7 linked regions of the Mus musculus genome follow. The protein of the gene in region 3 interacts with the protein of the main gene of each other region in a pairwise test. Links are inferred from orthologs where the notes say so. Each region holds a gene or a part of one and is shown on either strand. Other genes may lie near its edges.

Region 1 (4,300 bases), on a different chromosome or scaffold from region 3:
TTGTTCTCAAAGCCTCGTAATGCATGGTTTGAATAGCTGTAAGTCTATAGTACTTGCTCAGCCCATCCCAGTTCTTGATTTATCTTAATTTAGAGAGTGTCTCACTCCATATTAGAACCGTATTTTTCCTGTCAGAGGGCAGAGTTAACCGTAGCACCAAACAAGTAAAATGGGATGAAAAAGAATTTCAAAGGAGAAATAGTAACACTATATTAAACAGGACTCAGAGCACTGCACAGAACTGTAGAGAAAGTAGAATTGAAAGGACAGAGAACAGGAAATGTTATTTTCCAAATTAGTAAAAGTGATTGGCAAATTATGACTACCCTGTGATAATGAGTATTTCCAGTTCATAGTACTTAGTTCAATTTTCTAAAAACACTTTCTTTGGGATTAAGGATAAACATCACAATAACAGCATCTCTCTGGTGACTGGTGATAAAACCCAGGGGTAGGGCCATATACCTGGGCTGAGCCCCTAGCACTGCAAAGAAAAGAGATATTTCCAAATATTTCTGGAATCCTCAAACTGGTCTTAATAACTATCTATGTGAGAGGAAGGAAATGGGGAGAGGATGGTGGTTCTGAAAAGAAGGTTTAGCTAGAGGCAAGATCTTTGGACCAATACCCAATACACACTTTGCTTTGCAAACGTAATTCCCGGCTCACTAAGCCAGTTCTGAGCTGTGCATGGGGTGTGGAAGGCATTGTATGCTTCCTGACACATGGGCCTTTTCTTCAGGTGCGGTGTTCATGACCCCTCCTCTCAAAGATAAACAATAATCAGTAAATCAGTAATGTTTATGAATTTTTGCTTCTGCGAGTCACTGTCTTCTGTGCTGAGAAACACAAGCGTATGAAGAACTCACACAGTGCCGATTGCCCTTACTAGTCTAAGGGATACTGATACTGCCCCTGTGCCTGAATCAGGAGGGGCGTGGCTGCTCCTTTCAATGGAGAGCAAAGCCATAGAGGTAGAGGTAGTGTATGAAAATTACTTCGGGGCTGTGTATTATTCATCTTCGTGTGTTCGGAATCAAGCATGCTGCCTGGCACACGGAAGATGATTCATAGCTGTTTGTTGATTTGGTAGATGAGCCCTCGCTAGACAGTGAGTACTGGAGTAAGTTTCAGCATCACACTGGTCCAGGTAGAAGGCTGGAAAGTTTCCGGAACCGCACCCTCCCCCGTCCCCCAACACCCTCCCCACCCAACCCTGCCTATCCCTTCCTTGCCACAGTCCAGCTTGCAATCAGGCCCTGTGAGCTTCTGCGGTCTGCATCCACACGGAAAGGCATTGCAGCTAGCACCCTGAACAAACCTGAAAAACAGCCGGTCCCACTTGCATCTACCTTTCCTGAGCAAGGTCAGCTAACCAAAGCCGGAGTGCTTCCACTCTCTCTGGCTTCGCCCCTCCCCTCCAGGTCCGCCACCGCAGGCCTATCTGGCGCCGCCCGAGGTCTACCTGCCGCGCCTGGTGGGTGGAGTGTGAGCTGAGTAGTCTCCCTGTGCTGGACTCTGCACCCTTAGGTGCTAGAGTCTTGCCTCTCAGCGGAGCCTCCGTCTTCGGCGCTGCCATGGAAGAAGGGTCCAGATCCCAATCGCCCCGGGAAGAGCTGGAGCTCTCGATGCTGGACGGGCCTCAGGAAGAGCTGACACCTCTCAACAATGACCTTCGGATCCAGCCTAACTCCGCTGAGGACCCTAGCCCAGCCCAGGTAAGGACTTAGGGTTCTGGCGTGACAGCAGGGAAGGGGCCTGGCACCACTTAAAGGCTCCAAAGCGTCCTTCCAGCGCCCAGGACACGCAAAGAAGGGGAGGTTAAAGAAAGCAAGAACTTTTGGAATTTCTTAGATCAGACCCCTCCATTATGAGACTCGGACCTCGCCTAGAGACTTCAGGAATCCTGTAGAGGGGCGTGGCTGCTCCTTTCAATGGAGAGCAAAGCCTTAGAGGTAGAGGTGCTGTTTGAAAATTATGTAACTTTTAACTTGTTTTTCTTTCCCAAATAAAAATAGAGTGATGGATTGAATCATATTGTCTCTCTCCCCGTTCGCTTCTCCGCTTTCTCTCTCTCCCCTTTCTCCCTTCCAGCACCCCACCACCACCTCTAGGGGCGTGCAATCCACTGTCTCCTACCTTTAACCAGCCCTATGTCCTCCGCGCCCTCCCCCCACCTTCAAACACATTTTGTTATCTCCCACTTTGGCCACTGCTTCCTCCAGAAGAAAAGCAGGCAAAGAACACGAGGAGGAAAGAGCTGCTGCGTCCAGACTGAGGGTTGTGAACTGTTGTGAACTTGCCAGCTTAGTACAAGGGAAATACTTTCTAAGTTCTACCTAAGAACTAGCCTCACTGTCTTTTCATCTCTGAGGAAGTCCTTAAGGGTGTGTAGGTTGAACCCTTCTCTGATATCATAACATTACTCACAGATCAAATACTTGTAAAACATCAGAGAGTTTGAATGCTGAGCCACCTGTCTTCTCATCAACTCCAAAGGTTTACTTGAGTTTTACTGGGCACACTCAATTTTCTGGACGCATTGTTTTAGCCTGGTTTTTCTCACCCCACTCCACCCCCATCCCTCTTGGGCTCAAGTTCTGACTTTAGTAGAATTCAAAGCTCGAAAACATTACTCTTGGTCCACTGTGATTCCTGAAAACACTGTGTGGCAATGCCTTATTTTATGAGTACCCTGGAGTCTAAGTTGGCACCTTCTGTTTGTATGAAATAAGACCACAGATGAGTGAAAATCGGAAGGTAATGCCTGAAGGCCAGTGCAAGAAGCCATAATCAGGAACTTTCTGTATGATTCTCCAGGGCAGAGCCTGGGCAGGAGAATTAGAAATACTTACCTCAAGTTAGTCAGGCCCAGTACATCCCCAAAGATTGAGACATTCTCCAGGGGGGAAAAAGTGTTTGAGCCCAGAGACGCTGTGAAACAATCTTAATGTCATATGCTCCATTTATGTGAAACAATGTTAATACCATATGCTCCGTTTAGGCCCTGAGAGCCCTAGAGAACAGTTGAGAACACGCCAAATCCATACCAGGTATCAGAATCTTACATTTGCGTAGCACCTGCTTTGTAAAGAATAGGCTTCAGTGTCCTAGTGACTTCCTTGTTAGTCAGACGTATGTAGATGTGCCAGACTTCCTTGTAATTTGGCGTTGTAGGTGTCTAAATAGGAAAATTTCAATAACTGATAGAATGGGGTGAGGGTAGAGAACCTGAAGAGCGTTCTAGAAATACTGGAATGGTAGCACTTTACTGAGAAGAGAGAGGACAAAACCTCAAACCCTTCCCTAGCATGTTCATCAGTCTCTGACTCTAGAGAATAGGTTGAAATGTGTTTCAACATGAATGGTCAGTTAGTGACGTTCATTCAGTAAGGACTGGTTAGCACAAGCACATGGTCTATATACTTAAAATTTTTGTGTCCCCATCTTAAGTTGTGTGATAATAGTTCTGACTTTTGTTCTTATTTAAGTCCATACACTTTCCAAAGCATATGTTTTGTACCTATTGCTGCTATGTGCAACTGTGTAACACATCAATGCAGCTAATTATTAAGGGTAGAAGGAGCTGCCCTAGTTAGCATGAACTGTCAACTTGAGACAGCAAAAAATCACCTGACAAGAGTCTCAGTTGAGTAACTGTATCAGGTTGATCTGTGGGTATGTTTGTAAGGGATTGTCTTGATTATCTATTGATAAGGGAGGATCCAGGCTACTGTTGGGGATATCATTCCTGGACGGGTAGTCCTGGGCTATAAGAAAACTGGTTCAGCATGAGCCAGTGTGAAAGCTAGCTAACAGCATTCCGTCATAAATTCTGCTTCAGATTCCTCCTTGAGGTCCTGCCCTGACTTCCCTCAAGGAAGGCCTCTGACCTAGAAGTGTAAGCCAAATAAGGAAGCCCTTCCTTCCTTCTTCCCCCACCCCTCCAAGTTAGTTTTGTTCAGAGTGTTAGGTCATAGGGACACAGATAAAAGTGGAAGAGGAGGGTGCTAGTTTTCTGGTTTGACAGATGAAATAGCTGACTGAAGAAGCTGAAGCTCCAGAGATACAGCCCAGCAGCTCAGGGTCACTCAGTGGGGCCTTCTAAAGTTCAGACTCAATGACTTTCAATGTCTCAGGTCTACATTGTTCATCAGTTTTAAGAAAACATTACTTTGATTTCCTCCTCCTCTCTCTCTCTCTCTCTCTCTCTCTCTCTCTCTCTCTCTCTCTCTCTGTGTGTGTGTGTGTGTGTGTGTGTGTGTGTGTGTGTGTGGTGTGCGCATGGGCCATGATGTAC
Region 2 (4,107 bases), on a different chromosome or scaffold from region 3:
AAGTCAAACCGAATCTTGAAGGGAAGTTAGAACAACAGGAAAGGTGGAGTCTCAGGTATTAATCAGTGGGTGACTTTCCTATAGTTCCCTTCCCTCGGGGTATACAAAGTTTCTACAGTTCACAAGAGCTACACCTCTGCAATACCGTAATAAAGGCAGAGTATGTGCCATTCCTTCTCTCTGCGGGATTTGGAAACAGCTAAGCAACCAAGCTCTGCTCCTTATGCGGAAGGAAATGCAGCCTTCCCTTCTCGTGGCTGGCTTTAGAACCAAATTTCCCGTGTAAAGTCAGCAATAGAAGAATCCCAACCTCAAAGAATGATGGGGCAATGTTGAAGATTATATATATATATATATATATATATAATGTGTTTAGACAGTGGAATATCAAACCACTACCACCTGGAACACCAGACAAAAGACAGATAGCCACTGCACCCGTTTCTGAGTGTGCAAAGTTTTCACACACCGGGGAGATAGATGTATTCCAGTAATTCAGAATTCAACACCTCACCAGGACACACCATACAATCTGTAACTAACATTTCAACACAACTTGGCCTACCTAGCAGAATTAACTAGTAGTACCCCTCTCCTCAGGTAGTATACGTCCTCATTAGCATACTTTACTTTACAGACTTTTATTTTCAGCAATCCTCATTAAAAAAAAAGAAAAAAAGAACCCCAGGCTTCCTCATGGGACACTACTGACCGTTCAAGGTTGCCCAGTGGTCTTTTGGACTGGTAAGATTCACTACCTTCCAGTCATTATTATTTGGCTTGGGGAACAAAGGAATCAAATCCACCTCCAAAGGCTGCCCTGTACGTTTTAAGTTTTCCTCTTCCAACCCGAAACCCAGCACTGGGAGGGAGGGGAAGGGAAGCTGTCTCCCGGGGTGCTCGACCAAGACTCTGCCAGAGATGCCCAGCGAGCGTTGGGTGGATCCGAGGGCACTCACGGGGAGAACTCTGCTCGGAAGTCAAGGTTTGAATTTCCCAATCCTGAACGGATTTGCCTCAGCACACGTCAGTAGCTATGGCAGGGTTTCTCGAAGGGTCTTCTTTGCCCCTCCTTCTTCCGCCCCGCCTCATTCTTGGGGAATTTCAAGAGTTTCCAGGAGTGTTACAAGTGCATTTACCAGCACCGGGACTCCCTAGGTGTTTAGGGGACCTTCCCAGGGGCTCCACTCAGCCACCCGACGAGTTTAGGCAGAGAAACCGTGAAAAGGCGACTGGGAGGGCGCGGGGGACTTCAGACTGACAACTTTAATAAAGTCGCCCACTTGCTTTCTGACCGTCGGGCCGCGAGCCTGGCCTCCCCTCCCCCCCTCCGCAGCCAGCCGTCTGGACCGCGAAGCTGGGAGGCTGCGGGAAGCGCGAACGGAGCCCGTGATGATGCTAAGACTGGGCAGGAGGGGCCCGTGCCATCCTCTGCCCTAAAGCTTTCACTTCACAACGACTCGGCCTGGTCTGGTACAGAAAAAAAAGCCCTTCAATACAGACCCACCCTGATACTTCGGTGTGGATTTAGGCCGGTCAAAGTGCTTTACAGAATGTGTTACCAATTAAAAATAAAAGCTTTAAGACGGACCCCCTTCAAGCTGCACGTTAGCATCATTTTTGCTTAGTGCTTTGCACCCTCTGATGGCTCCAATTCAAAACTGTCCTAACAGCTCTGAAGTCACTACAAGTCCGGGCACGCAGGAGGAGTTGGGGGTGGAGAGGGGGCAGCTCTTTCTAAAAGCGCAGCTCTAAAAATCCCTTTTCCCCATTCCTTCTAGGAGCTCGCGTTCTAGCAGTTGATTTTGGAAAAGCAACCTGGCACACACTGTTTCTAAACGCCCGTTCTTCCTCTAACTCTCCGTAAGTCACCACCACCCATTCAAGATTTCTCGCGCCCGGAGTTGCCAGCGTGGAGTATTAAAAAAAAATGCTGGCTGTGCAGGCTAAGAGGTTCATCCCGTAGCATCGCACAGGCTTGCACAAAGTACCCACTGTTGGTCTAAAAACTCTAACCGCAGCACCCTGGTCTACGTATTTAGTGGCTTAGTCCTGAAAAGTCTAAGAGAGAACCACGTGGAAGTCAACTGCTGCCGCAGCGTCTCAACAAAGCACTCTGTTACAAAAGGAGTCTGCAGTTTCAAGGCAGTAGAACAGGCGACCGGATTTTCATAAGAAAAAAAAGAAGCGTGTAGTGTCCAGCACTATAGGAAGCAGGCTAAGCAAAGTTGACTGAGGTGCCCCCCCATCACCCCCACCCCCGCAACACCTTCTCCATTGGCGACTACAGAAAAGTGAAGTTAGGCTCCATAACAAAGAACTAAGTTTAGTAACTTGGTCCTTCCTTCACTCTAGTTGGAAAAAGTTTGAGCCTTTTACCTGTTGCACTCTCAGCGGAACTTTTTAAACAAACCCAAATCAAACTCAGCACGTGGAAATGACAAAGGCACTTTGAAGATCGTCGTTCTACTTACAGTATCCTAAGTCAAAGACGCAACGCATTTACAAAGCATAGAAGAGTTTCCCTTACAGAAAGAGACGCTACTAGGTAAAGTGGGTTTTTCTTTTTTTCAAAACTTACTCTTTCACTTAATGAAAGTGAAGCCGGCACGCCAAAGTGGTGGAACTCCTTGGAGGCTGAAGTCAAAGGAAAAGGAGAGTTCGGGCTCTCAGACCTGTCTGTTTAAAGTTTCAAAGTCTGCTGCTGTTGGGTACTTCCCTCACGCCTTTCCCCCAATGAAAGAAAAGTGCTGATACCTCGTAAAAGCGTTTTTTAACTTGGAGCACAGAGCTTTTAAAAGTTTCAAGCCACTGACTCAACTGGAAGGAGGGGCTAGGAGAAAGGGGAGGGAGGAAGAAAAGGCGGGGAGGAGGTGGAGTGGAGGCTGGCGAGCGTGGAGCTGAGCAGGCAGAAGAAGCAACCTGGTCAAGATAAAGTTGTAGTTTCAATGTGCTGACGAGAAGGGGAAAAAAAGTAAGAAATAGCTCTAGATGTACGTCAGCTACTGCGGGGCTGTGACTCCTCACAGATTAAAAAAAAAAACTGTTGGATGGGTCATTCCTTCAGGAGATGACCACGGGCAGTGAGAAGATGTCCCTTTTAGGTCACATTTCCTAAATAATAATGATAATAATAATAATATTACAATAAATAAAAATGGGGGGGGAGACAAGGTGAACTCGTGCAGACTTGTTCTGGGTTGCCCAAGGTGTGTGAAGCTTGAGGTGGGTGTGAGTGATCTTTCTTATGACCTAATTCTCTTCCTCTTAAACCCGGACAATTAACAAAGGAAAGAGGCGGTGGGCATGGGAAAGGCATTTCACAACCAGACCCGTGGAGTGGGATGTCTACTCTTCAGTTTCTCTGCTGCTTTAGGTAGTTTTCCTTATTCTTTTAATTAACAACAAGAAGATACATGTTCTATACTATGAATAAAAATAATATATCATGTATGTAACTCTTGTCTGAAACGTTGATAGGACCTCAACCCAATCTCCAAGGAAGTGAAGATCCATATCTTAGTCTTTTTTATGCCTACAATTTAACATTTAAATCGGCAGGGAGATGCCAGAATTGTCCCCCTCCTCCTCTTCCTTCTAACCGCTGCAGACCAGAGTTGCCAGACACAGCCTGTCTCAAAACTTCTTTCTCTCTTCCAATCCTGTCCCTCGGAAGCACTTTCAGGGAAGAGATGTGGGCCTGGTGACTGCCTGCCCACAGCTTCATGCCTCTCTCATCATACCTGATGGGGTTTATGAAAGCCTGAGTCATATGACCTCATTCCTAGGGTGGGCAGCTCCTTTGAGGGTTCCCAGATGCCCCCCACGAGGGCTTGTGATAGGGCGATAAACAGGCTTCAGCGGCGCTCCTGGAGTTAGGCCTTTGTATAGGCATCACCTGATGGAGCTGAACGTCTCACACTAATGTAAATAGCAGAACAAAGGATGGCGAAGACTTCCTGGGAAACATTTTCCTGCCGAAGCACCCTCTCACTAGGATGACTAAGGGAGTGCCATTTAAAACCTCACAGTTTAAGACCCCAGCATGTTCTCTTACTTTTGAGGTTCCTTTGTCTTTAACTTAAAGAAGGGAAGTAATGTTACAGA
Region 3 (4,253 bases):
TTCTTTGGGTAAAAGAGGCCTCTGTAACTGCACAGGAATAAGAGAACTCACTACAAAACAAAGGTAGCTACTTCCTGCCAACTTCTTACATTTTACCAGCTCAGCTGTAGCTGCAGCCTCAACCCCTAACGCTATCACCAATTCCTAACATTAATGCTGACTTTATTTCCTATTTCCCTATACATTGACATTCACCCCTTTCCCAGAAGACACCCATACTAATCTGGCTTTTATTTTTAGGCCCAAATCCCCCAAATTTAACCCTAAATACTCCCTCCCACCCCACCCTGCAGTTCTAAAGCTCATTTGTAACTTGGTTCTTAATTAACCTTTTCACTGTTTATTCTTAATACTGACCATGACACCGGCCTTTAATCCCTAAAACGGGCATCTAAGCCAATTCCTGTTGATCCTTAACCCGATCCTGTACTCTGACTTAATGCTGGTCATTGCAGAAAATAATGACCTCAGTTTAAATGTCACATATGCGAAACAGACTTGACTCGTGCAGCAAATGTTTAGAATGTAGTTCACCTTCTTAACTTCTAAAGGGATCCTTGCTTCCTAAACGCGACGGCACCTAACCCAAACTCACCCCAAGTTTTCCTAACCACTTACTCACTATCGGCTAATACCAAAGCCCATCCCCGCCCAGTGCCTCACTGCCACCCAGTGCCTCACTGCCACCCCATTTCTACCCGTCCCCAAACCTAGCCGAGACAGAGAACTGTCTACCCCCGCGAAAGGGCCTGCTTCTCGCAACAAGGCCAGCTTAATTCCAAATCCAAACCGAAACATACTGGACCCTGACCTCCCTAACCAGACACAGGATATGCAGGAGGATTGGGGGCCCCGCCCGCCGCTTCCCGGGCTGGCCCGATCCCGCAGCCCCACCTAGAAGCTCGGCCCAGCCCGTCCGGCCTACCTGCGCTGCCCGGCTCTGCGCCCCGCCCTGGGCCCGCTACCCGCTCCTTCTCCCGGTCGCTTTTGGGGCTCCGGCCTCGCCCTCCCTTCGACACACTCTCGGCCACTTCCGTCCTGGAAACGTCCCCCACCCGCCGGCGGCGCCCTGGGCCCGCGCTCTATGGTAGCGGAGACTGCAGGAAGCTGCTCTGGCCGTAGTTCTCGATGCTCGGGCGCCCGCGAAGCCTGGCCGCCCCTCCCCAGCAGGAAGCGAGCGTGCAGAGCTCTGGAGAGAACGCCCGAACTAAGCTGGAGTTCCCTTTTAAACGCTTAAGTTTTTTTTTTTAATAGCTCGAGGCGAAGGCGGACAAGGATCCTCAGAATCCCCGCCCTGGGGCGTGGGAAGCTTGAAAGGACGTCCCCATAATTTGCATAGCCCCCGGGACGTGGCGCAGCCCAGGAGCCACTTCCGAGTTGGAGAGAACTCCAAGTCCCAGGATTCCACGGGGCTATGTGCACCACTTCCGTTGTGTTGGAAGCTGAGGAATACAGAAGCTGAGAGACGGGTGCGGTTTAGAGTGACAGCTAGGCCCTTGTCCCGGAGTGACGGAGGTTAAGTCGAGCCGACTGGACAGACTGAGGGGTCGTGCCTGAGGTTCGGAGGTTGGATCTGCGCGGAGGGATTTCTATCCATAGATATCCCAAATGGATCCTGGTGGTCAGGATCTGCTAGCTTTGGATCCCGGTGATCAGGACCTGCTGGGCTTCCTGCTAGAGGAAAGCGGAGATTTGTGGGCTGCGACTGAGCCGGACGTGAAGGCTCCGCTGGACTTAGAGCTGTCACCTTCCGAGGTGGGTGGGTGGGTGTTCCCAGTGGGGGAAGCTAGGGATGTCCGCGAGACCCAAGGTACGGAAATAAATCAAGGCCTTTGAATTTGATAGAACTCCGTGCAAGAACTGAGCGACTGGGAGGTAGAGGATTTACTGAGCTCTCTGCTCAGTCCCTCAGTATCGCGGGATGTTCTCGGCTCTTCCAGCTCTTCCATTCTCCATGATCACAACTACTCCCTTCCACAGGAGCACGTCTCCATAGATCTAGGTGAGTGTGAAATGATAAGTTGTGGGGGAGGAGAGAGCTCACTGGGCTAGCTGGTTCTACTTTCCCTTTTGCAGATACTGAGAGCTTCGAAAAGGAGGGGTTCCACGTGACTCCACTGCCAGGGGAGGAAAGAGCAGCGGAACAGGTGCTGGACTTGATTTTTTTTTTCAGGATTACCTCACTTTGCAGCAGCCAAGATCCCCCATACTGCTCTGAGAGCTCCATGCAACTCTGCTCTCTTCACTATTTCCTCCATCCTTAGGAGATGTCTAGGCTGATACTGACCGAGGAAGAGAAGAAGCTCTTGGAGAAGGAGGGGCTCACTCTGCCCTCAACCCTTCCTCTCACTAAGGTAAGGCTCCTGTTGGTAGAGCAAAGGCTGGAGGGGGTTGGTAACCCAAGTAGGCAAGCTCAGTTTGTTTCATATCAATCACTTGCAAAAGGACAAACCAACTCCTACAAGTTCTCTCATCTCCAAACACACACCCACGTCAAAAGATAATGTTTTAAATGTAACTTTAGTACAGAGCCTTGAAAGTGAAGGGCCTTGATAGCTTCCGTTGTTATCTTGGGACCTCGAATCATACTCAGTGGTAGAAATGCTTGAGAGGCTGACTCAGTCTAACAACATCAACAATCGTCAAAGCTGGACATGATGGTGCACCCCTCTATAACCCTAGCACTCTGGAGGCAGGAGCAGGAAGGTCTTCACAAGTTCAAAGTCACTTCCCACGTGCTGGGATTACAAGAATACTGCATCTAGTTTTTGTGGCAAATTTTTTTAATGTCATTTGCCTTTTTAATATTGTCTTACTTCTGATATGTAGATATTTACTTATTTGGGGCAGGTGGATCAGCATTAACGGACAGACTTAGCTTCATGTTGAGTTCAGGCAAGCTTGGGCTATGTGAGAAACCATCCCCTATCCCTCTATCACTATTACAAGATGAATGAGCAATATATTGGGAGGAAAGGAAACGGAACTTGGAAATTATCAATAGTGGTTCTGTCCCTAGGATAGTAACTGTCTTGTCTTCCTTTACACTGGCCAGAGCATGCCATAATTCCCCTACCCACTGGGATTGGAGTACAGTACCTCATGAATGTTCATCAATGCTCACTGCTGAGCCACGCCCTCTGGCCCTTGTTGTTAAGGCAGGGTCTTGTAAACCCAGGCTGGGCTGGCCTCAAACTATGTAGTAGGGAAAGAATGCCTTTGAATTCCTGATTCTCCTGCTTCTAACTCCCTCGGACTAGATTACAAGTGTATGATGTCACTCTTGGCTAGTGTCCAAGTTTGACAGGCATTATCAGAGAATGTAAGAGTTAACTTTATTCAGTTTTAGTTTCTGAAAGAAAAAAAGTTGAAAGTACCTTAAGATAAGGATATATTCTATATCACTTTAGAGACTCTAGGAAAATCAAATGAATGGAAATTATAAGAAGATTGATGTTGCTTTAGGATAAGGGTAGATGTTGTTGTTGTTAGTTTTGAGACATGGTCTTATGTAGCTCAGTCTGTCCTCAAAAACTACCCTAGCCAAGGATGGTCTTGAAATCCTGACTTCCTTCTTCTGCCTCCCAAGTGCTGATACTACAGGCATGTACAACCACACCTAGCTTAAGTGGAATTTTTAAAATTAATTAGAGACTGGAAAGATGATTCCGTGGTTTAGAGTACTTTCTGCTTTTCCATGGGGCATGAGTTCAAGTCCCAGCTCCCACATGGCAGCTTACAATCCGAGGAGATCTGACACCCTCTTCTAGCCTATGTGGGCACTAGGCACACCCATTATACATATACGTTATACAGACATGCAGGCAAAACACCCAAACACATAAAAAATAATAAAAAGTCTGGCTTTCTAGTGTTGAATATCTGCTCCTTGGTGTTCACACAGAAGGTAAATGCCTACTGACAGAGAGGCTGTGGAGAGTATTTGATTGGGAAGAAGGTTAGCTGTCTTCCAACATACCTATGTAGTATATATAGGTATAACATACAGGCATATAATAACATACTGTGGGTGACCTTTCCCCCATCTTCTCTTAGGTGGAGGAACAAGTTCTGAAACGAGTGCGGAGGAAGATTCGTAACAAGAGAGCAGCTCAAGAAAGCCGCAAGAAGAAGAAGGTGTATGTCGTGGGGCTGGAGAGCAGGTAAGCAAGGATGGACACGGGGGAAGCCTGGAGGGTCTTGAAGGGAGGAGACACAATATTTTGAAATCCACGTGTCCTCACATCCATGTT
Region 4 (3,500 bases), on a different chromosome or scaffold from region 3:
CCAGACTGGGAACTCTTCCACTTGGGCAGCACATGTGGTATTCTTAACGGTTTCAGTGTATGGCAGAGCCCTGGAAAACAACGGTTGCTGAAACCAGTGGCCGGCCCTGTGCCTTTGTAACTTTCAGATTCCGAATGCAGAATCCTTCTTAGCCTTTATAGTCCCTGCTCACTAAACGCTGGGCGCCTCCTCCAGGTCACCACTCAGGGTTCTAAGGTCCTCTAAAGATAGCCACAGTCCAGGAGTCCTTTGGGCAAAGCCCACAGCCAGCCCAGTTTACCCTCAGGGAGGAGATGTGATAACAGGTTCCAGAGTGCAGAGTGGTCTGTCCAGCCTGATCGGGGAAGAGGCCAAGCTCAGGGTTCTGGAAGGTTCCCAGAGAGCTGGCATCTCAGCTTGGTGGGGAGGAAGCACCTGTAGTACCCCCGAAGAAGCAGATGTCTAACAGTGGGCCAGGGCCCACCCATGCAGAGCCAGGCTTGCCCTGGGCACTCAGTGGTGTTGCTGGGCTGACTGACAAGAGGTAGTCTGGTTTGGCAAGCACCCCCTCTCTGGGAGTAGCCGTTGGAGACCAGGGCAAGGTATGGCTGATCCACCTGAGGTCCTAAAGACCTGAAATCCCATACATGCTCTCTGTCAGAGAGTCATCAGACTAAACGGGAACATAGAGAAGGCCAGGTGTGCATGCAGCCCTCTTGGAGTGCAACCTTATAAGCATTACACTAGGGGACGGGGTGTGGCTCACAGGGATCATGGCCCCAAGCCTCAGGCCCTGGGTTCTGACCACAGCACTAAAAAGAAAAAAGGTCTATCTACTCAAATCACACCCCTTGAGATTGCTACCAAAAAAAGGCTCTGGAGGAAGAGAATTTGTACTGAAGTGGCCGCATTGACAGGGATGGAAAGGTGGGTTGGGTGTGGTGTTCCCTCCGTCCCTTCTGGGAACAAACTGGCAGAGACAGACTAGACCAGATTAGACCTTGGACCTCCAGGCAGGGCTTTGGCCTTGAAGGCCAGCTGGGAGCTGCTAAAGGTCTGGAGCAAGCTGACTGATGAGACCTCAGTCAGCTGTTGAAAGGTCCCATGTAGTGGGAACACGTGGAAGACAGTTTGAATGTACACTAGAGCCTCAAGTACCTACCTGGATGGGGGTGGGACTCATGATCTCTGCAGTCTCATGGCAACCAGAGCTGGTCTGTAGCCACACCACCAGACCCTGCCTCTCTTCTCTCCAGCAGTAGCGCTGGGGACCTGTGACCGCTGCATCCAGCTAACCATGGGACCGTTTGGCTCTGGCCACCAGCCCCTTAGGTGAGGACTCCATCAAGGGCCCACTGCCCATTCCCCATCATGGAGGCCGAGAGGATCCTTCCAGCCAGGGGAGCTGCCCTTTGAAAACCGTGGTCGAGTCCTGCTGGTTCTCCCTGCCAGCCACCTTCAAGAGAGGCTCCTGTTCCTGCTGGCCCACGGATGGGGAGGTGGGCCCTGGACGTCGCCTTTGTGTGGAAGGCAGCTCTGACCCTGGGCCTGGTCCTTCTATACTACTGCTTCTCCATAGGCATCACGTTCTACAACAAATGGCTGACAAAGGTAACCAGACCTTGCCAGTGCAGGGACCGGCACTAAGGTGGCTGTAGTTGGTACAGCTGTATTGGGTGATGGTGGCTTTTCCTGGACGCTGGTCCCGGGCGGGATAAACAGGTGGCTAGCAGGGGTGGCGGTGATGAAATTGGACAGGAAGTGAGTCCCTGGGCTGCCACTTCTCTGTGTGACCTCCACAGTGGGGACCAGCCACTTGTTCCAAGGGGTCATGCAGGGCACAGGATTGGCCCCTGCCACCATAGGGAGGAGATAGAGGGGAATGTGGCATCTCTCCACTCCTGCTGTCGTCTTTGGGCTTCACAGAGCTTCCACTTTCCGCTCTTCATGACCATGCTGCACCTGGCCGTCATCTTCCTCTTCTCCGCCCTGTCCAGGGCACTGGTTCAATGCTCCAGCCACAAGGCCCGGGTGGTGCTGAGCTGGACGGACTACCTCAGAAGAGTGGCCCCCACAGGTAGGTCCAGTGTGGGGAGGGCTGCTGGAGAGCCTAGGATAGAAAGCAGAGGCCCTTGTGGCCACACGCTACCTACCTCCTCTCCTCCCCACCTCTCTCCCACGGCCAGGTCTCAGCAAAGCCGGCAGTTGCCCTTGTCTGGCAGTTGCCCTTGTCCGTGCTGGCTCACATGGGCCTCAAGCGGGCTCCACCAGACGCAGAATGGGGGAGCCTCACCCTGTAACCATGCTAAGTTGGGCTAAAAGATTTCCTAGGACTAGTGTTGAGTGGGCAGGACTTGAAGAGTGGATGGGGACCTCTGACCCTGGGGATGTGAGGTCGGAAAGGGAGCTGAGAGCTCGGCTGGAGGGGGAAAGGAAGAAGGAGGGTTAGCAGGCTGGGCCAGTGGAGGGCCAGGTGCCCCTCGAGCCATTTGGCAGGATCGGGTTAATCCTCTTGCATGGAACTGTTTAGATTCTCTCGCAGAGGAGACTAACAGGCCTAGCCAGTCAGGATGGGCTCCAGCGCTAAGCAGGACAGCCTTTGGCTAGGGGTTGGCCTTGAATTGCTTAGTGGAAGGGAAGACAAACAGGGCCTTAGGTGTCTAAGCCTTATGCTTGCCAACTGGCTGCCCTGCCTGGGTGTCCCTGTCCCCACAGCACTGGCAACAGCACTTGACGTGGGCCTGTCCAACTGGAGCTTCCTCTACATCACTGTGTCCCTGTGAGTACTGACCACACCCTCTGCCCCCTTCAGGCCAAGCTTACTCGCTCCTTCCAGCTGGCAGGCTGCACAGCCAGCAGTGGACCAGCTCCTCCGCCACCCCCAGGGACCAGCCCCCCCCCCCCTCTCTCTCTCTCTCTCTCTCTCTCTCTCTCTCTCTCTCTCTCTCTCTCTCTCTCTCTCGGCCCCTCCCGAGCACCTGGCAGCACTCCAGGCAGCTCTGCTAAGCCCAGTGCAGAGAGATAGGCTGCACCTGCTGGCCAGGCAGCAAGGGGAAGCCAAGGGATTGGACAGAGATGCTGCAAGTTCTTGGCAGGGTGGGTGGGGGATGGGGATGGGAGGAGGCAGGCAGCAGGTAGGAGGACCAGGCAGGGGAGCGGGTGAGGGTCAGAGATCACCTGTCTGCAGTCACAGCCCTGATGTCTCACGTCAGAGAGTGCAGCCCCTCACTTCTCCTTGTCCAGGTTTCTCTCATTCTTACCTGGTCTCTACCACCAACCAGGTAAAGAACAGACCGAGTCAGCTTGGTGTTAAACCCCCAGTTCACCCTCCAGTAACAGTCAGGGCTCTTAGAGACTTCTTCCCACAAAAGGTGACATATCCACGCAGACCCCACTGGCTGGCTCCTTCCAGTCTCGGAGACCTGGTTGCCCTCGGGTGGGCCTGCCGCCATGCATTGTGGGTATCTGCTCTGCCCCAGGTACACGATGACCAAATCCTCTGCTGTGCTCTTTATCCTGAT
Region 5 (3,772 bases), on a different chromosome or scaffold from region 3:
ATGAGCCGATCCTGTCCACATACAACACTGCGTGAACTAAGAAAAGACAAGGATTAAGCCACATCTTTATTTGTGTGTGTCTATCTCTGTGTATCTGGGGTGTACACATATGTGTGCATGCAAAGGCCAGAGGGTATCAGGTGTCAGCTTCTTATCACACTGTCTTATTTCCTAGGAACAGGACCTCTCCCTGAACCCGATGCTCTCTTGTTTCTCTGCGAGGCTGCCTGACTAGCTGGCCACGGGGATCCTCCCGACTCCCGGTCCCCTCTCAGCACTGGGGTGGCAGGGTCCATTGACACATTCGGCTTTTATATGAGTGCTAGAGAGTCAAACTCAAGCCTTTACGCTTGAGCAGTGAGCGATCCCAACCACTGAGTCATCTCCCCAGGTCAAGCCCTACCCTTACAACCAACATCGAGCAATCCAGAACCAGCCCAGATAACTATACTTCACAACAGCCCCCAGGTGACGGCTTATAATGCAACCGAGACAAATTACTAAAATAAAGAAATATTTTATTTTACTTTCTCGGGTACAAAGTCCAAGGAAATACATATTTGTAGAAATTAAAAATAACACCAAAACAGGGATAAAACTAGAAGTCGCATGGAATCTGCAGAGTGTGATTTGGGGGCCTCCTCGGTTTGCCAAGACAGGTTTAGCCCATGTAACAATTTCTGTGCTATCTGTCCAGGAGAGAGTTGTCACACAATCATGAAGCTCACACAGCTGGAACAGGTGGAAACGAGAATAGTTCACAAAGCAAAACAGACAACATTACTAATTGGCACAGACTAGCTGTTGACCTTAGAATACCCGTGAACTAGAGTAAAAAAAACCCTTAGCACCTCAAACATCCCTAGTCGTTACTTGTTCATCCATTTATGCGTGCATACATTCAATGAGTATTTATTAAGCACCTATTGCATGCCACAAGGCACTGTGTTCCACTATGGGTAAAGGCACGTGGTCGGGTCTCCAGTGGAAGCGAAGAGAGCCAAGTGCATTCTGGGAAGGCATCAACCAAGGCTCCCGCTCAAAGCAAAGAACAGCATGCATTCAGTCCGCCCCAGCTTCCACAGGAAATGTATCGACTCCTCTCTCACTCATCAGAATGACAGCCACTGTCTTTCTGTTCCAGTGTTACAATGGGCATGTTCGGTACTGTGAAAAGTTACAGGGGACTCAGAAATGGACGTTGGTTGCCACCACTGCACACTGAGGAAGAAGACACAGGATGTCATGGCAGAAGTGCCTGCTGAGCAGCACCCTTCACTTAGCAGCCAAAGGAGGCACTGCTGTGTGCCCCTTCATCGCCAGGTACCCTTTCACTAAGGCTGTCCAAATGGTCTCTGTCCTTGGAACGTGCCCTTGGGGCAGCTCCTACTGGCCCAGACTGGGGGGTCTTGTTATCCACTTCTTCCTCCACAACAGCTGGCGTTTCTTTGCCATTGGTGAACTGCATGAAAGGTAGAGTCTCCAGGCCTTGCTTCGGAAAGGGCCTGACTCCCTTATAGTGGCCCACAGGCATTGATAGGAGCAGATAAACAGCAGCCCACATCTGGAAGTTTCTATGAGCGCTCTCCTTTCTCCCTGACTTGGATCTGCATTCTCTTTGGCTTACAGGGAAACTGAGAAGTGAATTGAACTTGTGCTGCCCGGTCACAGAGAAGGGCAGTTTGATCATTTCTAAGCTGGCCTGATGAGCCCATCCTACCTGGAATTAGTTCCCGGGCCCACCATTAACAGCGGCAGTAAAGCTGTGGGTCCCTTGGAGAAGTAAATGAGGGGGCTAAATTTTCGAACCGAGGTCTTCCACATTCGCTGGTTAATGTGCACTGTAAATGGTTTTGAGTCCTTCACTATAAAAGCATTTGTTTAATGCACTGAAAATTCAGAGTGCTTTAAAGTGTTCGTTTATTACCTAAATCTATACCATTAGGGTATATAATCACTATGAATTGAATTGTATAAGTGCTCTTGTGATGAAAATGTATGCAGGTCACTGTATTTAAAAAATGAAATTTTAAAGTGAATATGCCCTGATTTGGCTTCTTTAATAAAAAGTACTAAACTTAACATTTTTTTCTCTTAGTGTATTTTCATAAATCATTATTACATAAAAAGTCTAAAGAATCTATACAAGAATAATCCTCCCCTTTCTGCAATGCCTCGTCTTCTTTGCATATGAATTTGTTCATAAAAGATTGTTTTAGAAAATATAAAAATATTGCTACAGTGTCGTTGGTGCTATCCATCCTCCAGGGAAACATACCTTTGTAAATTGAACTACTAGGAACTCTTAATGAAATTCAAGTCCCGGATGTGCCACAGATAAAGTCCCCATCAGGGTGACATCCAAGCCCGTCCGTCCTCTGTCCACTTCCAGAAACTGTCTGCGACACTCCCTGAATGAGACAGGATTCTCGATCTTTCAAAAGTCGTCATTGATTTCTGTGGATATCCTTAGAGTGACACTCTACAGAGGCAGTGGGAAGGGGAACATCAAAGATGGAAACAATTCCAGCATTAAGTATGCCATTCTCAGACGCTTTCTCCCACCTAACAGGGGACTCCCACTACCGTGCCTTGCTTGGACTGAGTCCTGAAGGATTCTCTTGGCTTTATCATTTTAGCCAGTAATTCACTTGTTCTAGGAGGTGAGAATCTTTCTGGGGTTGAATATCCTGTCTTACCTTCCCTGGGTCTTAGGAATGTTTTTCAACAACATAATTTTTTTTCATGATCATATTTTCTGGTCTTTGGAACTAGTGAGGGCTACCTGAACACAGCCTGGACTTTGAGCATTGAATGGCAAATAACATGAAAGTTTCAATGGTGAAGTGACCTGTGTGCCTAATGTGGCCACTTTTGAAAGCAAGCTAATAATGTTATGTAGCACACGACACCCAAACATATTATAAGGGTAAAAAAGGAATGTTTCTCAAAAATCAAGAACTTCTCTAAATTTTCACTAATCCTAATCACCAGGGATTCCTATAACATTTGAATTGATTAAGTCCTTACCTGGAAATCTTGGATGAATGTTAGGAAATAGAAAATAAAACCAAAAGCCACGGTCCACTCACAGATGGCGCTCACCACGTGATATATATAATCCTAATAGCAACAGTAAAGATACAGGAGTTAGTCAAAACGACCTCATCGGAGCAACATCACCTGGAATACGAGATAATCAGACCAGAAGACAAAACTGTCCAATGAACACAAACTGTAACCTTGAGGGAATCTCAGATGCAAATCCTTGCAGCCCAGAGGTCAGAGACTAAGTCAGCGGTTGATAGGAATTCAAGCAGTGCCAAAGTTCTCTATAGCTCTCACTTCTAGTTTGAAGACTTGAGCTACAGGGAACTTCAAAAGGAAAATTAAGGACCACACAATGACTGAGACCACAAGGTAAATTTGGACCGCAGTGAAGAAAGGGTTTGGTTTTGTTTCCCTGCCCTGGGAACTCCATAGTTGAAGGAGTCGCTGAAGTGTCTAGAGGGTACTCCCTCCCAGGGATCGTCCTAGAATGAACGTGTGCACACCCATAAGACCAGCTTGGCACCCCGATAGGTTTTTATGCCTCTCTGTTACTGTGGGTATTGATTCTGCAGAGTGCTGATTCGCACAATAAGGCAAATACAGCAGCAGAGCAAATGCCAGAAGCAAGAGACCCATCATGCTTCCGATGGCTCTGGAGACAAAGGATGCCAGGAGCCAGCCGCGTCTGGAGTTGAGAAACGATGAAGCAGGTGGAGGTTGA
Region 6 (4,254 bases), on a different chromosome or scaffold from region 3:
TAGGACAGAACAAATAATGGGTGAGATGTCAGGAAGGGTGGACATGGAGGGGTTGTCAGAGAAATGTCAACTGAGCAAAGACATCAGAAGATGAAAGGCCAGGGATGTATCACTCCGATGACCCCTTATAAACCTCCCAGTGCTACAAAAAAGGATCAACTGTGACAGGAGAGTAGCTCCATCACAGAAGGCCAGAGTAGCAAGCTACCTCCTCCCCTTTCAGCTTCTACGTTCTTCATATGCTCTGGAATGTTTGAGCCTGAGGAGGAAGTACTAGAGTTGTCTGGGCTCCTCTGGGAGGTGGACCCCATCCTCTTCCTTCCTTCTGGTGGTGTTGGGCTCTTACCTAGACCCTTTACTGAGCCTTCAGCATCCCATGCCCCAAGTAAGCCAGGCGGCCTGCTTGCTTCTTGGCCCCCTGTTGCTTAAAATACACAAAGCCCAGGGTCCCATCCCCAGATCTGGAAACAAAACAGATCTAGCTAACTTTAAAATGCTAACTAGGGTTCAGCTTAGAAGATAAGTTAAATGAGCCTGTCACCAAGTTGAAAAATGACACACTGCGTTTTCCAGCTCGGGATGAGAGCCAGCATCCTCTGGCAAAGGTGCACATTTTGAGTTAAGAAAGTTAAAAAATAAGCAATAAAGACCCATAACCCCAGGATCTCAGAGGCAGGAGAATTGAGAGTTCAAAGACAGCCTGGGCTATAAAGTGTGAGACCCTGTCTCCGAAATAGAAAAAGAGCAAAGCACAGACAACCTTTAAAACCTAACTCTGGAGGAACAACTGAGAAACAGCAGCTCTGTGACTTTGAAGGGGAGGCGCTGTAGTTAGATATGACCTGGGGGTCTCCAAAGATTGGGGTGTTGACATTTAATCCCCTTGTGAGGTATTTAAAGGGGAAACTCAACCTCACTGTGGGGTTTAGAGGCCGGACCTTTGAGAGGTGGGTAAAATGTACAATGTATGTCTTCTGCCAACAAAAGGGAGTCACCCAAGATGGCCCTCAACCCCACATGAATCACAAGCCAGAATAAATTTTACTTCTTTATAACCCAACCCAATGCACTGTATCTTATTAGCAACAGAAAGCAGACTAAAAGTCAGCACTAGGGAAGCAAACCGAAGGATTGAGAATGCGAGGCTAGCCTCTGCTACATAGTGAGGCCTTACTTAAGAAAACAATGGTAGTATACACAGAGCTGTGAGTTCCATCCCCAGCTACAAATAACCTGGATACAGTAACTATACCTGGAATCCTAGAACTCAGGTGGTGAAGGTAAGAGAATCAGGAGTTTCAAGACCATCCTCAGCTACATAGTGAGCTGGGGGCCAGCCTAGGCTACATGAAACTTTGCCTCAAAACAAAACAAAGAAAGTCTCAAATCCTGGAGTATAGAGGGGAGAAAATTGGCAGGGTGGAGTGAGAGATGTGGGGAGGGGCAAGGCTGGGAGGTCACGAGTGCCACCTGCCCTAGGCAGGACACTAGATCCAAAAGCAGCCAAGGACCCCAGGTGACCCTTAGGTGTATACTTGTAAAGGAGCAACAGTAAACATGCCCCAACCTAGTGGAAATCAAGGTAGCATTGCCGAGCTACTCAGCCACTTCTTGGGAAAGGTCCCTCCCCACCAGGCTAAACCACAACGCAGTTTACAAACTCAACAAACTGAGGTCCAGAATGGTGGAGGAGCCTGTAGAAAGCTACACAGTCAGAACAGAAAGTAGGTCACAGGTAGAGAGGTTGGTGTGGCCTCTAAGAAAGCCCTCCAGGCTTTGAAGGAGCCAGCTCTATGTAGCTGTTGGGACATAAGCCTATCTGAAATGAGGCCTGCTTCCCTGAGGTTAAAATTAAGGTTCACTGACAACTCCCCCATCCCCCAAAGTAGGTAGGAGACCAGCCTTCTTGAGAGCTGCAGCTGGCTCCAAACCCCTGTAACAGTGTTATCACCTGCATCAACGCCAACAACAATAAACAACACTTTGTAGGGGTGGTTCAGTACACTTCAGAACAGCAATTAAGTTTATAAAACAACCTGCATCCGCATCCTGAAGGCCACAAGGTGGAAAAGTGACACAAGTATTGAACCCCCAGTGCTGGTTGTGGCTGGTACACCGGCGACCTTGCCGGCCCCTCGGATGCACTCCCAGTCCCTGCGCCTGGGCGCAGGCAGGTGGCTAGGAGCTTCGGGGAAATGATGGTCTGAACTACCCAGGTCGCCTAAGAAGGCCCTTCTGCTGCCCCTCGAAGACCTATATCCCCGGGTCCCAGAGAGGACAGATGCGAAGCTGGATTCTGTCGGGAACAGGTGTGAATTACCAGGTCGCGGCAGGGACGGTGCGAATCCCAGGATCCCCGAGGGAGGGACAGATGCGAACTCTCCGGTCCTCGCGGAGACAGGTGCCGACGCCATCTTCCGCCTGCGGCCCGGGCTCAGCCTGGCCGCCCTACTGTGGCAGTGCCGCGCCCTGGTCTCAAGCTGCTCCCCCTAAGTTTTCGACAACCAGGGCACAGCGACAACGAAGGCCACTTGCTCAGCGCGCCCTAGAACCAGGACACAAGGGCCACCCCAGTGCATGGACGCACAGCGAGACACGCGGACCAGACTAGCACCTTCTGGGGTGTCAGACGCAGAGGGGACGTTTCAGAGCCGGGGCCACCGAGGGATTTGGGCACGGGTCCCCAACTTTCCAGCAACTTGGGCTAGGGCTGCAAGACGCTTACCTGCCAAGCTGAGCTGGCGTAGCGGCGGGCGAACTGCCCGAACACCCTCTCGGCTGGGACGCCGGTGGCGGAGTCGGGGGCGCTGGCTGGAGGCGGGTTATTGTGAGCGGCGGGCTGGACCCTGATAGGTGGCCGCGCCCTCCCCGTCCCGCCCCTTTAACTCCTCCCTCCGGGGCTCCAAATCCCCGGTCCCAATAAGTAGCTACAGAACCCCTGTTTTAAAGTCGTTAGCTTGCAGACATTCCTCTGTCGCCTGTAGACCTGCTACTGTGTCCCCGCCAGTGCGTCTGCGAGTGTGCTTTCCGCAGACGCCGCCTCTGCCATCGCCGCGGCCAAACCTTAGCAAGGGCTGTCTACTTGGTCCTCATAGTACTCCTAAAGGCTTGGTGCTTCTGTGGCTTCCCTTTGCTCCCGCCTGCTACAAGTTCCGCACTGCACCTCCAAATCTCCCCCTTTCCCCTCTCTCTTCTCTCCCGGTGTATAGGGAGCTCTCCCAGCCCTCCTTTTGGCGAAGACTTAGGGTGAAGGAGAGGATCGGTAGGAGGTGAAATCTAGAATTACAGGTGAAGTGGGAGGAGTTCAGTCTCCAGTGCCCTGGAGCAGGGGCTCCGAGGTGAGTAAAGATGGAGCACTGGCCGAATTACAAAGTAACCACTATCTATACAACAACAAAACTTGTTTATCCCAAGTCAGCTCCTCTCGGGATAGCAGAGGTCAGAATCTGGGGCAGGTGCCTCCTACTGCGTGCTTTGTCAAGTAGTCAGCTGGACTCTTCCCTCTCCTGTCAGGAGAGGGGTGGTGATATTTGGGGTTCCTTAAATCTTCTCCTGACACGGGAAGGCAGCCCCTCCCCCCACATGTTAGAAGGTCCTCGGCAGAATTTAATCTTAGAGGCCTTCCAATCCTGCCACTCAGATCTTTCCAGTTCTGTGGTCCTTCTGTCACCTCCAAGCCCAGAAGCAAATTGAACCCTGATCTTTGGCCATTAGCCATCAGGGATTGTCACAACCTGGAGTTGGGGGCAGGGGACCTTGAAGCCTCTCTGCCAATACATTTTGCAGATGAATTTGCAGAAAATTGAGACTGAGAGAAGAGAGGCAGTGACAAGGGGTCTCACAGTCCAGAAAGACCTGACCGGTCAGCAGATGCGTTCTGTAAACAGTAGACAAGGTGGAGGAAGGAGGCCAGTTTGAGGTCAGATGGGGACTTAGGGGCCCAGGGGAGGGGGTGAGTGAAAATATTTAGCCTGCAAGATCCCCAAGGCAACAGGCTGATCAAATGGGAGGCTAGCACAGTGACTCAATCCCTGAACGGCCTGCCGCTGGGGAGACTAGGAAGTTGGGTAGGTTCCGGGCAATATAGCAAGAATTCATTATTTGGAGGGGTTTGTTTATTTGTTCGTTTGCTTTTTCAAGACAGGGCTTCTCTGTGTAGCCCTGGCTTTTCTGGAACTCACAGAGATGTGCCAGCCCCAGCCTCCCTAGTGCTGGGTTTAAAAGCATGCACCAACCACTACTACCACCAGGCTG
Region 7 (3,500 bases), about 91 Mb from region 3:
TGGTGTTTGTTTGTTTGTTTGTTTGTTTGTTTCTGAGCCAGGGTCCCACTGTGTAGCTTTGGTTGTTGTCCTGGAACTCACTTTGTAGACCAGGCCGACCTCAAATTCACAGACATCCATCCGTCTGCCTCTGCCTCCCGAGTGCTGTCATTAAAGCTCTGTCAGTATGCTCACCTCCCTCCCAGACTTTTTTTTTCCCTCCCAGATTTTTAAGATAGTGTCTTAGTTAGGGTTTCACTGCTGAGAACAGACACAATGACCAAGGCAACTCTTATAAGGACAACATTTAATTGGGGCTGGCTTAGAGGTTCCTCTGATAATGGTTCAGTCCATTATCATCAAGGCGAGAACATGGCAGCATCCAGGCAGGCATGGCGCAGGAGGAGCTGAGAGTTCTACATCTTCATCTGAAGGCTGCTAGCGGAATACTTAACTGGCTTTCAGGCAGCTAGGATGAGGATCTTAAAAGGCCACGCCTATTCTAACAGGGCCACACCTCCTCCTAATAGTGCTGCTCCCTGGGCCTAGCAGAGCATATAACAAACCATCTCAGATAGGGTCTCACTGTTTAGAGCAAGCTGGCCTTGAACGCACACGTTCATCTGCCTTTGCCTCTGCCGTGCTAGGATTGAAGCTGCTACCATACCCACCTCACTTTGGTTTTTAAATTACAAGTTAGGGTCTTTCACTGAACTTAGAGCTTTCTCAATGCTGGGCTGGCCTGCAAGCCACCTGGGTCTCCTTGTCCTTCATCTCCCACCCAGCTCTAGGGTTACTGAAGAGGTGTGTGTTTGTTTGTTTGTTGGTTGGTTGGTTGGTTTGTTGGTTTTGCATTGGTGCCGGGCACCTGAACTCAGGCCCTAATTTCACCCACTGACCCTTCTCCCCAAAGCTGAAGCTCTCTAATTAGACTAAGCTGACTGGTCAATAAGTCCTGAGGAATCTGCCTGTCTGGGATTACAAATGTGCACTATTGTTTGTGTGTGAATGTGTGTGTTTGTGAGTGTGTGTGTGTGTGTGTGTGTGATTAGTGTGAGTTCTGAGGGAATCTAACAGGTATCCAGCACTGTTGTTACCAGCTGAAGTATCTCCCCAGCCCGACTTGGGAGCTTTCCCTCAACCTGTGGCTCACGAAGTCTAATCAGCCTCAAGGATGGTGTGGATGTTTGGAGAACTCACACTAGAGTGGGGAGCTAGTTCCCAGCTGAGTCGTAGCCAGTGCTTATCCCACCCTTAGCCCCATAGGCCCAGGGCTGCCTCCTCCCTCTGCCGTTTGGAATGTGTCTTCCTTGGCTGGTCACAAGACTGAGAGGCCTTGGTAACACCTGGAGTTCCAGCCACCCCTCCCCCAACAGTCATCAGGTGGTTTTTCCACAGAAAGACCGGGATTCGGGTGTATTTTAGGATCTTTGGTTTTCTTTGGGGGGCAGAGTTTGCAATAGGACCTGGCTGGCCTGGAACTCAGTGCCAGGTTGGCCTCAAAGTTTGCCTCCCAAGTGCCAGGCTGAAAGCATGCACCACCATACCCAGCAACTCTTTAAAAAGATTTTACTTCATTTTTGAGACAGGATCTTAATATGTACCCCTGGCTGTTCCAGAACTCACTATGTAGCCCAGACTGGCCTCAAATTTACAGAGATCCACCTACCTTTGCTGTCTGACTGCTAGGATCAAAGGGTGGTGGGAATCGAACCTTGGTCCTCTGGAAGAGCAGCAAGTGGTTCCAATCTCTCTAAGCCCTTGGTTTTGAGACCAGGTCTCTATGCCTTGGCCTCCTGAGTGTTAGAAATAGACATATGCCCTTGTACTTGTTGGATGAATCTATCTCAGCTCAGCCCTTTCCCACGGGTCTCACGGACTGCATCCTGTTTGTGCCCCAGCTGCAAAGTGGTAAATGGTCTTCCGGAAACCACCTCAGTTCACCGGGATCAGGGACAGTTGGAGGAGTGGGGCTCAGGCCTAGGATTGATTGGCAGGGGCTCCAAGGCGAGGCAGTCAAAGCATCCAATGTGACTGACCTTGCTGCGCCTGGTGGGGTCACATCTGTAACCCCAGCAGCTGAAGCAGAACTTTCCAAGACCAGCCTGGGGGGGCGGTGTACATAGCAAGACTCTGTCTAAAAAGCAAACAGATTAAAATGAAAATGGAAACATGGTTCTGCTCTGGGCACTGACCTTCTAGCTGTGAGCAAGACAGCCTTCTGCTCTCAAGAGTTTCCGTTCTAGACACAGATCAGTTAAACCATTCCAGGGGCTGTCCCCTGTAACAGGACAGAGTGGGGGATGGGAACCACGTGGAAACTGCTGGCTGAGGAGGCCTTCTGAGTAGATGGCCCTGGAGGAATGGGGTGGGGTTGGGGGCGGGGGGGGGGCAGCGACCTTCAGCATTGTTCTTGATGTCCTCAGGGACTCCCAAAGGCGTGGACTTCACAACCGTGAAAAATCTCCTGCTGTCCGTGGATGGGGTGGAAGCCCTGCATAGCCTGCATATCTGGGCGCTGACAGTGGCCCAGCCGGTGCTGTCTGTCCACATAGCCATTGGTGAGTAGAGGTAAAGGAAGAAGCGCAAGGCCTGGGGCTGTCCAGGAGGGTTTGCCAAGCTCTGACCACATGCTGAGCGTTTAAATGCTCTTTGATCCTCCCCACTGCATTTATAGGGAGAGAGAACTAAGGCCCTGCTTGGGGTGGTCAGGTCCTTGTACTTGCTGTTGGGTGGGGGAGACAGATTCCAGCTCTCAGGCTTGCTGGATGCGGGACACCCCCTAGTGTCTCTTGTCCCCTAGTCTGTGCCCCAGGGGTAGACATGAGCCCAAGCATCCCGTGTTTCTCTCGTCCCAGCCCAGAATGCTGATGCCCAGGCTGTGCTGAAGGTGGCTAGGGACCGCCTCCAGGGGAAGTTCAATTTCCACACCATGACCATCCAGATTGAGAAGTACTCTGAGGACATGAAGAACTGCCAGGCGTGCCAGGGCCCCTTGGAATGACTCCCCAGCCAGACACCGTCTCCTCGGAAACACGGTCAGGACCTGTGGGTAGAACTGTCCGGTGTGCAGCCGGGATTCCAGCAAGGCACAGCCTGGACCACTCCACGGTGGGGCTCTCCTTAGCCTCTCTGAGCTCACAGGATGGGGACACGGCAGATGAGGCCCCACTTCTCTTCCAGGATGGTGTTTGGGCAGGGTCCTGAACTGATGTCATCCTAACACCACCGCTGGAGAGACACTGAGGCACAGAAAGGGATTTGGGGGTGTCCTGTATGATCCAGGGTCTCTGTGTCTGAACCAAAAATTGAACAAGATCCATGTAACACGTGACCGGGTTGTCCGGGGGGGGGGGGGGGTTCCCTTGGCAGGGTCGGTCTCATTGATAAAAGAACCTGGAGCTGGACTCAGGAGGAAGATCTGAGGCTATTTTATTAGAATTTGGGAGAAGGAAAACAAACAAAACAAAAACCCACAGTCCAGGCAAGCCATGAATCTCGGCAGCTACTGAAGGAAAGTG

Evidence for each region.
Region 1: the proteins of Creb3 (region 3) and BC016579 interact in a two-hybrid assay, tested with the Homo sapiens proteins (2 studies listed by BioGRID and IntAct). The two-hybrid records come from large-scale screens. The link is inferred for Mus musculus from reciprocal best matches to the Homo sapiens genes CREB3 and C3orf52.
Region 2: the proteins of Creb3 (region 3) and Gja1 interact in binary tests that used the Homo sapiens proteins (3 or more experiments, as listed by UniProt). The two-hybrid records come from large-scale screens. The link is inferred for Mus musculus from reciprocal best matches to the Homo sapiens genes CREB3 and GJA1.
Region 4: the proteins of Creb3 (region 3) and Slc35c2 interact in a two-hybrid assay, tested with the Homo sapiens proteins (2 studies listed by BioGRID and IntAct). The link is inferred for Mus musculus from reciprocal best matches to the Homo sapiens genes CREB3 and SLC35H1.
Region 5: the proteins of Creb3 (region 3) and Dram1 interact in a two-hybrid assay, tested with the Homo sapiens proteins (2 studies listed by BioGRID and IntAct). The two-hybrid records come from large-scale screens. The link is inferred for Mus musculus from reciprocal best matches to the Homo sapiens genes CREB3 and DRAM1.
Region 6: the proteins of Creb3 (region 3) and Bik interact in a two-hybrid assay, tested with the Homo sapiens proteins (2 studies listed by BioGRID and IntAct). The two-hybrid records come from large-scale screens. The link is inferred for Mus musculus from reciprocal best matches to the Homo sapiens genes CREB3 and BIK.
Region 7: the proteins of Creb3 (region 3) and Slc30a2 interact in binary tests that used the Homo sapiens proteins (3 or more experiments, as listed by UniProt). The two-hybrid records come from large-scale screens. The link is inferred for Mus musculus from reciprocal best matches to the Homo sapiens genes CREB3 and SLC30A2.

What each region holds. Positions count from the first base shown.
Region 1 is NC_000082.6:45,651,319-45,655,618, reverse strand, and holds the start of BC016579 (TPA-induced transmembrane protein homolog), read left to right. Parts: upstream 1-1,500; 5' UTR 1,501-1,577; coding exon 1,578-1,718; intron 1,719-4,300. UniProt on the Homo sapiens protein: Has a role in LIPH-mediated synthesis of 2-acyl lysophosphatidic acid (LPA). LPA is a bioactive lipid mediator involved in different biological processes, and necessary to promote hair formation and growth.
Region 2 is NC_000076.6:56,375,993-56,380,099, reverse strand, and holds the start of Gja1 (gap junction alpha-1 protein), read right to left. Parts: upstream 2,801-4,107; 5' UTR 2,582-2,800; intron 1-2,581. UniProt on the Homo sapiens protein: Gap junction protein that acts as a regulator of bladder capacity. A gap junction consists of a cluster of closely packed pairs of transmembrane channels, the connexons, through which materials of low MW diffuse from one cell to a neighboring cell.
Region 3 is NC_000070.6:43,561,205-43,565,457, forward strand, and holds the start of Creb3 (cyclic AMP-responsive element-binding protein 3), read left to right. Parts: upstream 1-1,453; 5' UTR 1,454-1,608; coding exon 1,609-1,755; intron 1,756-1,845; coding exon 1,846-2,002; intron 2,003-2,076; coding exon 2,077-2,147; intron 2,148-2,264; coding exon 2,265-2,354; intron 2,355-4,056; coding exon 4,057-4,163; intron 4,164-4,253. UniProt on the Homo sapiens protein: Endoplasmic reticulum (ER)-bound sequence-specific transcription factor that directly binds DNA and activates transcription. Plays a role in the unfolded protein response (UPR), promoting cell survival versus ER stress-induced apoptotic cell death.
Region 4 is NC_000068.7:165,281,339-165,284,838, reverse strand, and holds part of Slc35c2 (solute carrier family 35 member C2), read left to right. Parts: intron 1-556; exon of another isoform or gene 557-581; intron 582-1,235; 5' UTR 1,236-1,470; coding exon 1,471-1,590; intron 1,591-1,905; coding exon 1,906-2,056; intron 2,057-2,694; coding exon 2,695-2,758; intron 2,759-3,458; coding exon 3,459-3,500.
Region 5 is NC_000076.6:88,322,304-88,326,075, forward strand, and holds the end of Dram1 (DNA damage-regulated autophagy modulator protein 1), read right to left. Parts: intron 3,124-3,772; coding exon 3,031-3,123; intron 2,483-3,030; coding exon 2,438-2,482; 3' UTR 501-2,437; downstream 1-500. UniProt on the Homo sapiens protein: Lysosomal modulator of autophagy that plays a central role in p53/TP53-mediated apoptosis. Not involved in p73/TP73-mediated autophagy.
Region 6 is NC_000081.6:83,525,408-83,529,661, reverse strand, and holds the start of Bik (bcl-2-interacting killer), read right to left. Parts: upstream 2,801-4,254; 5' UTR 2,726-2,800; intron 2,546-2,725; exon of another isoform or gene 2,415-2,545; coding exon of another isoform or gene 2,321-2,414; intron 1-2,320.
Region 7 is NC_000070.6:134,349,546-134,353,045, forward strand, and holds part of Slc30a2 (zinc transporter 2), read left to right. Parts: intron 1-2,405; coding exon 2,406-2,540; intron 2,541-2,837; coding exon 2,838-2,983; 3' UTR 2,984-3,500.